3 linked regions of the Ovis aries genome follow. The main gene of each other region encodes a partner of the protein of the gene in region 3 in a complex. Links are inferred from orthologs where the notes say so. Each region holds a gene or a part of one and is shown on either strand. Other genes may lie near its edges.

Region 1 (3,654 bases), on a different chromosome or scaffold from region 3:
AAAATGAAAGGATGTTTCATCATTCAAGAACCCAATCAAGAAAATTCAACTTCTAAAAATAAATGAAGAGATCTTCATTTTTTAAAACTAATAATATATAAGTGCCTTAGAGGTTCTAAAAATAGTTGAATATATTCATCGGAAACCAGTGTCAAGAGCATCCATCCCTTTGAGGAACAAAACCTAACAAACAAGATAGAAGTACAAAAGGAGAGTAAAACAATGTTAAATCAACCCTTTCAAGCACCTCTAAGACTATTCTAGAGCAGAAAAGATGAATACTTATGACTTTATAGTGTTTTCCTTAAATGATGGAAGCAGATGGTAGCATAGAAAATAGCCTGAGATCGATACCATTAGATTAAGGAGTAATCAACACAGAATCAGATATGAAAAATGGATATTAGAATAAGACATCGTTAAAAAAAAGATAAAACAATGGTTCTCAAAGTATGGCTCATGGACCCCAGAGTTTCCTGAGACCTTCCCCAAAGCCCTAAAGGTCAGAACTATTTTCACAGTAATACCAAGAGAGTATTTATTTGCTCTTTTCACTGCCCTGACATTTGTAGTGATTGCTTAAGCAACAAAGGTAGGCAAACCTACTGATACCTCATGGAGCCTGAGGCAGAAACTTGGGTTTGTAGTCATTTCACTCCTCACCACCTCATAACCAACCACACACTAGTCCTTGATGTTGACTCTCAACCTAACCTCTGAGCACATCTTCAAAACATCCGTACAACAAAATGGGAGGTTCACATACAGTACTCTGGCTCCAGGAGGAAGTTCACGGATTTTCTTGATGAAAAGCATTTGTGCAACTGAGCAGTGAAAATGCCTGGGAAATACCATGGACAGAGGAGCCTGGTGGGCTGCTAGAGTTCACGGGGTTGCAAAGTTAGCTACGTTTTTCTCTGGAACATTATTTTTAAAAGGATAATTGAAAAATGATGCTTATTCAAACTTCGTATTTGAAAGACATATTCTGAAAAATGAATGTGAGTCTGTCACCTCAAAAAAAAACCCAAAACACCCCAAACCGACAGCACTTGTTTCCAATGATAAATTTCAAAGTTTCAAGTGAAAATTAAATTTTGGAAAGTTCACCTCCACTATCATGGGCCTGACAGCCTCCCAGTACTTGAAGATTCTTTCCCCCCTGATAATAGTTATGTTAATGAATGTCGTTTTTTGACAGTGAAATGTGCTAACATTTGGAAGATATGCGTAATTCAGGGAATCACTATTTTCCAAATGGAGGGTACCTATCAGAAAACCACACACAGGTAAAAGATCCAAGTTTATCAGCATGATTTTAGATACTACATTACAGCTAACCTTTAAGACTCTGCCCCCCCAACTATGGAGGTTTACTGCTGTATCAAAGGAGACTATCCAAAATTACTGGAAAGGCTTTTTAAAATATCCCCCCTTTTTCTAACTACATAGCTGTGTGAAGTTGGATTATTTTTTCTTATACTTCAAGCAAAACAATACATTATTGCAACAGAAGGAAATGCAGAAGCAAATGAGAATAGATCTGTCCTAAGTCAAGACACAAACAGATCTGCAAAAACAGAATGTCATTCTTCTCATTAAAATTTTGGAAACTACAGCTCTTTTTCAGACAAAATATTACTTTTGTTAACATGCAGTGGGCCTGTTGCTATTTTAGAATTTTTCAGTTTTAATTTAGAATACAGTGTATATCAAAATGGGCTTCCCTGGTGGCTCAGTCTCTAAGAATCTGTCTGCAACTAAGGAGACCTGAGTTCAGTCCCTGGGGTAGGAAGATCCCCTGGAGAAGGAAATGGCAACCCATTCCAGCATTCTTGCCTGGGAAATCCCATGGACAGAGGAGCCTGGTGGGCTATCATCTATGGGGTCACAAAGAGTCAGACACGATTTAGGGACTAAGTCACCATTACCCAATATCAAAATAACTCACATAAAACAAAAGCTCTAGAGGTCCTCACTAACTTTAAGAGAGTGATAGGGTCTTGAAGCTAAATACATTTGAAAACCACTGAGGGAAAACTGAATTAAACACATTCCTCATAATTCAGGCAGCTTAGTAACTGCTTCTGGGGAAACAGTGTTCAAACTCATCTTTTAGATAAACCAGTGAGAATTCCATCCCCATCACCTCTTCAATTTGTAGCTACATGACAAAAATATCCTTAGGGATCACTGTCCAGCTAATAGCAACAGGACCAAGAGCAGGCAAAAATAAAAGTCCCAGAGTTATTTCCCAGTTTTCTAATCTTAACGCCCTTCTCTCCTCACTAATGGACTCTGAGCTCTTAGGCCTTCTAGATCTCTTCTCAATTCTTTCCCATTACTATGAGAATATATGAAAATAACTGCTACAAGACTTAAGCTGAAAAGGCAAGTTCAGATAAATAACACTTCAATTCAGTGATGTCCTTTGCTACTGTTAAACAATTTGGGCAAATCTAATCCAGATTTGAAGCTGAAACTAATACTTTGGCCACCTGATGCGAAGAGCTGACTCACTGGAAAAGACTCTGATGGTGGGAAAGGCTGAAGGCGGGAGAAGGGGACAACAGAGGATGAGATGGTTGGGTGGCATCACCGACTAATGGACATGAGTTTGGGTAAACTCCGGGAGTTGGTGATGGACAGGGAGGCCTGGCGGGCTGCAGTTCATGGGGTCGCAAAGAGTCGGACTGAGTTACTGAACTGAATCCAGATTTTAGAATAATGGCAAAAACCATAAGACCATTTCACTCCCCTGTCCAGCTCCTGGGCTCTCTTGATGTTTCTGGAAACCCAACCTAAGAAACTTCAAAAAGCCAGCTTTTTTCACCCCCTTTTCATCACCTTATTCCAGTATCTAGTAAATCTCTGGCTCGAGCACACTACCTTGTCTTTCTGGATCTGATTACAGGCTGTACACCCTCCCTCACCAGCCCAACAGTTCCTCCTCAGCCCTATTTCTGTTCAAGTGTCTTCTAGATACGTAACTGTGGATTCTTTGTATTTCTGTCCCATTTGACATTTAGGTAACAATTATCTATCTTTCTTAATCTTACATCCTTTATGCTTGATAAGGGAGAACACATCTGTATGCCTTCTCTGTTTTCTCTATCAAAATTGTTGCGTGTATGTCAACCAAAGGCAAATTCTTTGAATGTAGAAGATATTACTGAATATTGATAGCAATGTTGCTAACTATTAAAATGTTCATTAAAAAAAAAAGAGAGAAAGGAGAAGCTAAAAAGAATTGATTTGTTACTGAAATAGTAAGAATTGATCCTCACTTTGCCAGAAGGCTTTGGATGCATTAAAAAATTCAAGATCCTTTTCACCAGTTCACTATTTACACCCGATCTCTCCAAGTCAAGAACCTCGCAGATGCTCTTTAACATGGCATTTCTAAATCTGAAACAGAAAACGGAAAAAGCCAATGTGATTACATAGGAAAATTTATAAACATTCTCCACAATATAAAGATAAGAGCTAACCCAACTGGCTCAGCCACAAACATTAAGCAAGCAGCCAGTGTTTCTGTGAATCTTAGAAGCACTCCCAATAATCCTGACTGGGGCATGCACAAAATATAGCCAGGTACTACTGTAAACAGAAAACATCATTTACCATTTAAGTTTTAATTGTGGTGTAAGAAAA
Region 2 (3,654 bases), on a different chromosome or scaffold from region 3:
CTTATCCTTCTTACTTTTGGGAGACTTCTCTTCAACTCTCATACTATAGGATTCAGTGGTAGATAAAGCAGTTTTTAAAGAGAGATCCTTTGCTATTTCTGCAGTCTCAAGAGAGGTTTCCATTTCTGAAGGACCAGTTTCCTCTATGTGCTCTTTCTGACTCTGGGTCTCTAAGACTGATACTGAATTATCTGTATCTTTCCCTAAAGGGACCACTTCTTTCTCAAGATCACCTATTTTTACACTTGCAATGACAGAATTAACAGACTCTGCTCCATTTCCCTCCATGATGACACTTCTATCCTTAGAGGGGCTGCAACTATCTTCCTTTGTATCATAAAACTTTGTCTCCATCTGTTCTGTTTTAAAATGTGGAGTTACCTTTTCATCACTAACTTCTCCATTTACCAGCTGTTTCCCTTCATGACCCAAAGCAGTGATTGTAGAGATCCTTTTACAAGTCTCTTCCTCTTGCTTTATTTCATCTTTCAGAAACTCTTTTGTTGGAGTAACTGATTTACACAAAGGTCCTTTGATTGGACTATCAAAATCATCACTCAGTTTAATTTCTCGTTTTTTTAGTGGAATCTTGGCCTGCTGGTCATTTTTAAGTTTCTCGGTTTCTTCAGTAGACTTTTCAGTAATTTCTTGAGAAGATTTAACATTGCCAACAAAGTCTAGCCTCTCAGGCTCTAATTTCTCCACACTACCTTTGATATCTCTAGGATCTGCTTTACATTCTTTCATTTCCACTTTTACAGGTTTGACATTTTCCTTGAAGGAATCACTTTCTTCTTTGATAATCTTTTTTTCTTCGCTTTCTGGCACAGATTTTTCCAGCTTCACTATGACTGGCAGTTTTCCAAGTTCCTTTTCACTTTCTTTTTCTATTTTCACAGTAGTCCCTTCTAGAGGACTGGGTGTAGAACATTTTTCTGAATCTATTGGCCGCTCTTCACTTTTAGTTTTTGCACTTCCTTTCTGTTCCTCTAAAAATAAGAAAAAGTTTACATGAATCTAAGCATTCAAGATTATGAAATGTATAAGGCATAACATAAAAAATATTTCCATTTGAAGTTTCTCTCTTAGAAGAGGTGGCTATTGTCACGGGACATTTGACAATAAAAGATGAAAGCAGACAGTAAAGAAAATACAAAGCTCGGAAGTACAATGTTTAGACATTAAAAAACTGTCATTTAGAAAGATTTCTGCTTTATACTTTTAACTTCAATGCTCTCAATGAAATGCAAATATTTATACAGCTCAAATAATTTATTCAAGCTCAAGTGATGGCTCAAAACTACGAAACTAAGAATACATCATAATAAAACATTTCCAAAAGACCATATTTGTTTTAAAAACTGACAACTGTTCTCTGCAAGTTATGGAGCACTTCATTTCATTGAGAAAACATGAAAAAGGCAGTGTGGAAATGTTTTATGTTTTAATCAGGTTACAAAAGTAACAATTCTGTGCAGAAAAAGGAAAATATGCCCACAATCTGAATACCTACAATTAGTATTTTATTTGAGGTTACTTCTTCTAGTTTTATGTGTTTTTGACAAAGTTGGAATCATGCTGCCCCATTGTCCTCACTGAAACATTAGCATTTTCTTATGACATTCATGAAATGTCTTCAGAGAATTGGTCTTAACTGTGTAACACTCCTTACTGTGATTATATTACAATTTACTTTATCAAATGCCATCAATAAACATTTTAGAATGTAATATATTACAAAGAAACTATGTTTACCTGTTAACTCCTCTTTTTACCTTACTGGCTAATATTTACAACTTTTACAGAGTACCTAACAGTGCAAATTTAAGTATAACGAAAGTCATATTTAGTATATACCATAATCTTTGAATGAGATTACAGACAAGGCATATATGTTTTAAAATTGTGCTAAGGGAATCTGAGCCATGTTTTCAGAATTCATTAAGTACTAATTTTACCTATAAGAATAGCAAGGACAGATAAGAAAGCCTTCCTCAGTGATCAATGCAAAGAATTAGAGGAAAACAACAGAATGGGAAAGACTAGAGAGCTCTTCAAGAAAATTAGAGATACCAAGAGAACATTTCATGCAAAGATGGGCTTGATAAATGACAAAAATGGTCCTTCTTATGGACCTAAATGATTCTGTTATGGACCTAACAGAAGCAGAAGATATTAAGAAGTGGCAAGAATACACACAAGAACTGTACAAAAAAGAGCTTCAAAACCCAGATTATCACGATGGTGTGATCACTCACCTAGAGCCAGACATCCTGGAATGTGAAGTCAAGTGGGCCTTAGAAAGCATCACTACGAACAAAGTTAGTGGAGGTGATGGAATTCCAGTTGAGCTATTTCAAATCCTGAAAGATGATGCTGTGAAAGTGCTGCATTCAATATGCCAGCAAATTTGGAATACTCAGCAGTGGCCACAGGACTGGAAAAGGCCACTTTTCATTCCAATCCCAAAGAAAGGCAATGCCAAAGAATGCTCAAACTTCTGCACAATTGCACTCATCTCACACACTAGTAAGGTAATGCTCAAAATTCTCCAAGCCAGGCTTCAGCAATATGTGAACTGTGAAATTCCAGATGTTCAAGCTGGTTTTAGAAAAGGCAGAGGAACCAGAGATCAAATTGCCAACATCAGATGGATCATCAAAAAAGCAAGAGAGTTCCAGAACATCTATTTCTGCTTTACTGACTATGCCAAAGCTTTTGACTATGTGAATAGCAAGCAACTGTGGAAAATTCTGAAAGAGATGGGAATACCAAACCACTTGACCTGCCTCTTGAGAAACCTATATGCAGGTCAGGAAGCAACAGTTAGAACTGGACATGGAACAACAGACTGGTTCCAAATAGGAAAAGGAGTATGTCAAGGCTGTATATTGTCAACCTGCTTATTTAATTTCTATGCAGAGCACATCATGAGAAACACTGGGCTGGAAGAAGCACAAGCTGGAATCAAGATTGCCGGGAGAAATATCAATAACCTCAGATATGCAGATGACACCACCCTTATGGCAGAAAGTGAAGAGGAACTAAAAACCTTCTTGATGAAAGTGAAAGAGGAGAGTGAAAAAGTTGGCTTAAAGCTCAACATTCAGAAAACGAAGATCATGGCATCTGGTCCCATCACTTCATGGCAATAGATGGGGAAACAGTGGAAACAGTGTCAGACTTACTGCAGACGGTGATTGCAGCCATGAAATTAAAAGATGCTTACTCCTTGGAAGGAAAGTTATGACCAATCTAGATAGTATATTCAAAACCAGAGATATTACGTTGCCAACAGAGGTCCATCTAGTCAAGGCTATGGTCTTTCGAGTAGTCATGTATGGATGTAAGAGTTGGACTGTGAAGAAAGCTGAGTGCCGAAGAATTGATGCTTTTGAACTGTGGTGTTGGAGAAGACTCTTGAGAGTCCCTTGGACTGTAAGGAGATCCAACCAGTCCATTCTGAAGGAGATCAGCCCTGGGATTTCTTTGGAAGGAATGATGCTAAAGCTGAAACTCCAGTACTTTGGCCACCTCATGCGAAGAGTTGACTCATTGGAAAAGACTCTGATGCTGGGAGGGATTGGGGGCAGGAGGAGAAGGGGACGACAGAGGATGAGATGGCTGGATAGCATCACCAACTCAATGGACGTG
Region 3 (3,654 bases):
TAAGCATCTCCCAACACCTAATTCTCTGCTCTTTTGAAATTTTCAGCAATCACCAGAGCACAACTACACATATCCACTTGTCAACCCAACAGACTTCAAGAAACACAGAATTATATAGTATTTGTAAAAGTTATCAAGTGAAATGAAGTAAAAAGAAAGCACAATTATTCAGTGACCTATTCTTGTTTTCTTGGTTACAGTTAGTTAACAAGGGTAAAAAAAGAAAAATTAATGATGCCATTTTAAAGAAGGGGAGCTTTTCCAACTGAATTTTTAAAAAACAAAACAGATACTAAGTTGTGGCAAATTTTAGTTTATCAAAACATCGTTCACGGACTTTCCTGGTGAGAGGGTAAGACTCTATGCTTCCGGCCCAGGAGGTGTGGGTTCAATCCCTGGCCAGGGAGCTAAGACTCCATATGCCACGTGTGTGCTGTGCTTAGTCTCTCCGTTGTGTCTGCCTCTGTGTGACCCGTGGACTGTAGCCCGCAGGCTCCTCTGCCCATGGTGATTCTCCAGGCAAGAATACTAGAGTGAGCTGCCATGCCCTCCTCCAGGAGATCTTCCCAACCCAGGGATCGAACCTAGGTCTTCCGCACTGCAGGCAGATTCTTTACCATCTGAGCCACCAGGGAAGCCCACGTGCCACATGTATGGCCAAAAATTTTTTTTTAATTAAGAAAACAAATACATCATTCAGAGTAAGAAAATCTCAACTTTCCAACAGCCCTCCAGAAGCCTGAGAACATTCTTACACCTACTAACATAATAGAAGTACCTGAGTATTCAATGACTTCTTCTGGAGTTTTTCCCTCTACTTCTCTTGCTATATTTTCAATATCATCACGACCCCACTTCTCATTAGCTTTGATAAACTGGTTAAAATCTCTCTTATTCCAATTGGTAAATCCCTTCAAAGCAAAGGAAACAAAGCATACAATCACTGAGCTTGGGGGAAAAGCTATTAAAACTTTACCAATCTTGCTAAGTATTATAGAAAAATTTCAGTTGCTCTGAGTTCTAAGTTATCTTAAAGTGGTAACTATTCATATACATAGATGTGCACTCTGGCAATACATCATATACATTACTCAGACAGCCAAGCAACTAAGTCTGAGTGGGAGAGTGAAAAACGCTGCACAACAAAGTGACATTTTCACTGCGCTTTCAAGGAGAAATTGTCAGGAGGAATGGACATAGAGAGGCAGAATGAACGTAAAGAGCAAACATCTAAACCAAGCGGCAAAACAAAGTAATAATAAAGCTTTAAAGGTAGGTTAAAGCTAGATTCTCAAAGGCCTTGACTGAATCCTAAAGGATGTTTTAAAAAAGTACCAAGCAGATACTTGTAATTGAGAATGACGACATAGTAAAAATGAGAAGATCCACAGGAAAGGGAAGGTGGGAGCACTGGAAGAAAGGTGATCAAAGATACTGACTCTACAACAATAGACTTGGTGCAAATCTATCCTCTTCTCTTCTACCTCCACAACTAATGACAATCACAACACAGCGTACACCCATATGCCCATGCTTCATCATCTCCAATCATTCCACTTCTGAAAGCAAAACCTTTACTTCTTTTGTTTATCCCCACAGAACCTAACGGGGTACCTTACAAAATAACCATTACTAAACCTGGTTTTGATTGAAAGCTGTACCTGCGTCAGAAGCTTCTCTTTTTCCTCTAACTCTTCATCATTAAGGGGTTCAGCTTCATCAATTTTAAGCTGTTCTTCCTTCTGTGCCTGTGCTGCATTTGGTAGGTCAGGATTTCGAGGGACCTAAAAATATACATATTTTTTCTATGTCATCAGTCAATATATTTCAGGAAATATGTGATGAACTAAACTCTTAACCAACCACATGAAATTTTACAAGTTTTAATCCAAGAAAATATATGATATCATGCATTTAGTAAGTTAAAACAAATGAGATTAGTTACAAAGTTTTACTTCTGTTACCTTATAACCAATTGTTTTTCTGTAATACAGAATTTCTTTTTCCAATAATTCAAATAGACGTGGAGGAAAGAACTGGAAATCCTGAACATTGGGTTGTTTTGGAGGTCGAGGAGCCTAAAAAAAAAAGCACTGTTTGTAAAAACAAACAAAAACAAACCTATTTTGCTTTAAATCTATCTGAAATCTTTTTGCACTCGATAAAACCATGACAGTCAATTCTCCAAGCAACTGAATGCATCTTCCATAAAATTTAACAAACATCAAGCAAATTTTAAATGCTTACATTTAAAATTAACTTTTAGAAACTTTCAACAAAAGCTGAAGGAGGTATACTGGAAGAAACCACACAAAATTTAATTCTCAATCTGATTTTACTGCAAGAATATAAGAAGAAAAATAATTTGCATTTCCAGTATTTTTAGATATTTGTGCTCTATCAACTCACCTTGGGTGCTTTTGGTTCACTGACGCGAAGAGCTTCCCTGAAATAGGCATCGACAGCATAGTTGGCTTTTCTTTCTCGTTTAGGAGGCTCAATCCACTCTGTGAATGCAATCTAGCCCATGGGAAACAGTTCAAATCACCAACTTTTATTATAGAGCCACAAATCTTACATGAATGCGACTCCTACTGTTACATCAATATGACTTATTTATAAATGCAGATATTCATAACACCCTAGACTATATGAGGCTAGGGACTAATGCAATTAACACACAAGAGGATGTCTAGTGAATAGCATAAAACATTCAGTAACTATTTCCTGACCAAATTAATGATAATTGGGTGAAAAAAGAAATGCTACAGATGGTATGCTAGAACTAAAATTAGGAGAGAAATGTAGATAAATATTTAGACTAGAAAAAATTCAGAGGATATAAATGTCTAAATGTTAAAATGGAAATCATTAGGTAGAATTATTTTCCTTCTGCCCTGCAGGTATTTTCTAATTTCACTATATAATACTAATTAGGAAGGAAATAGCAATCTAGAAATTAGCAAGTTCATCCCTTTAATTATTAATAGCCAATTCTGCTTAGGGGAAAAAAAAAATCTAATAATGTTGTGACAAATTTTACTTTTGGCAATAGTTTTAATTTCCAAATATCCCTAATTACTATAATCACCCCACACAATATACTTTACTGTTAACAGTATACATAAATTTTTAAAACATTTCAGCATTTACCAACTGAAAATTTGGCATTAAATTTAACACAAAAATGAAAATAATTCAGACGTGAGTAAACAGAAATGACTGCTGTTTGAGATAAGGCATCACACCTAAGACTTAAATTCCAATTTTCAAGTAAAATAGTAAGTCTTAAAATAACCAAAATCTCTTTTCTAAATTACCTTCTGTTTTTCTCTGTAATCTTCTCCTTCAAAGTTATAAACGCTCGACTCTGTATCCATTGTAAAATTTCTAAGTGAGCTTTCACCCATCTTGGAGAGCTTTTCATTCATCTCTGCAGTCTAAGGAAACAAAAGAAACATCTTTTTAGATTTGAGAATTCTATAAAGGCACAAGAACTATAGTCAAAATGAACTGGACTTTATGGTACATAACTTCTTTGGAAGTAAAAGTGTAACTTAGCTATTTCCTCAGTTCTGGTTTAAAGTATTTTATATACTAGAAATAATCATTTAATCTGCATCTCACCTTCTTTGCACCTCTTTCCAAAATACC

Evidence for each region.
Region 1: SMARCA5 (region 3) and DEK share a complex: the UniProt entries of both Homo sapiens proteins name them as parts of the B-WICH complex. The link is inferred for Ovis aries from reciprocal best matches to the Homo sapiens genes SMARCA5 and DEK.
Region 2: SMARCA5 (region 3) and RSF1 share a complex: the UniProt entries of both Homo sapiens proteins name them as parts of the RSF-5 ISWI chromatin-remodeling complex. The link is inferred for Ovis aries from reciprocal best matches to the Homo sapiens genes SMARCA5 and RSF1.

What each region holds. Positions count from the first base shown.
Region 1 is NC_056073.1:38,630,395-38,634,048, reverse strand, and holds part of DEK (protein DEK), read right to left. Parts: intron 3,409-3,654; coding exon 3,288-3,408; intron 1-3,287. UniProt on the Homo sapiens protein: Involved in chromatin organization.
Region 2 is NC_056074.1:15,888,858-15,892,511, reverse strand, and holds part of RSF1 (remodeling and spacing factor 1), read right to left. Parts: intron 990-3,654; coding exon 1-989. UniProt on the Homo sapiens protein: Regulatory subunit of the ATP-dependent RSF-1 and RSF-5 ISWI chromatin-remodeling complexes, which form ordered nucleosome arrays on chromatin and facilitate access to DNA during DNA-templated processes such as DNA replication, transcription, and repair.
Region 3 is NC_056070.1:14,432,449-14,436,102, forward strand, and holds part of SMARCA5 (SWI/SNF-related matrix-associated actin-dependent regulator of chromatin subfamily A member 5), read right to left. Parts: coding exon 3,628-3,654; intron 3,441-3,627; coding exon 3,321-3,440; intron 2,521-3,320; coding exon 2,410-2,520; intron 2,079-2,409; coding exon 1,965-2,078; intron 1,785-1,964; coding exon 1,662-1,784; intron 912-1,661; coding exon 779-911; intron 1-778. UniProt on the Homo sapiens protein: ATPase that possesses intrinsic ATP-dependent nucleosome-remodeling activity.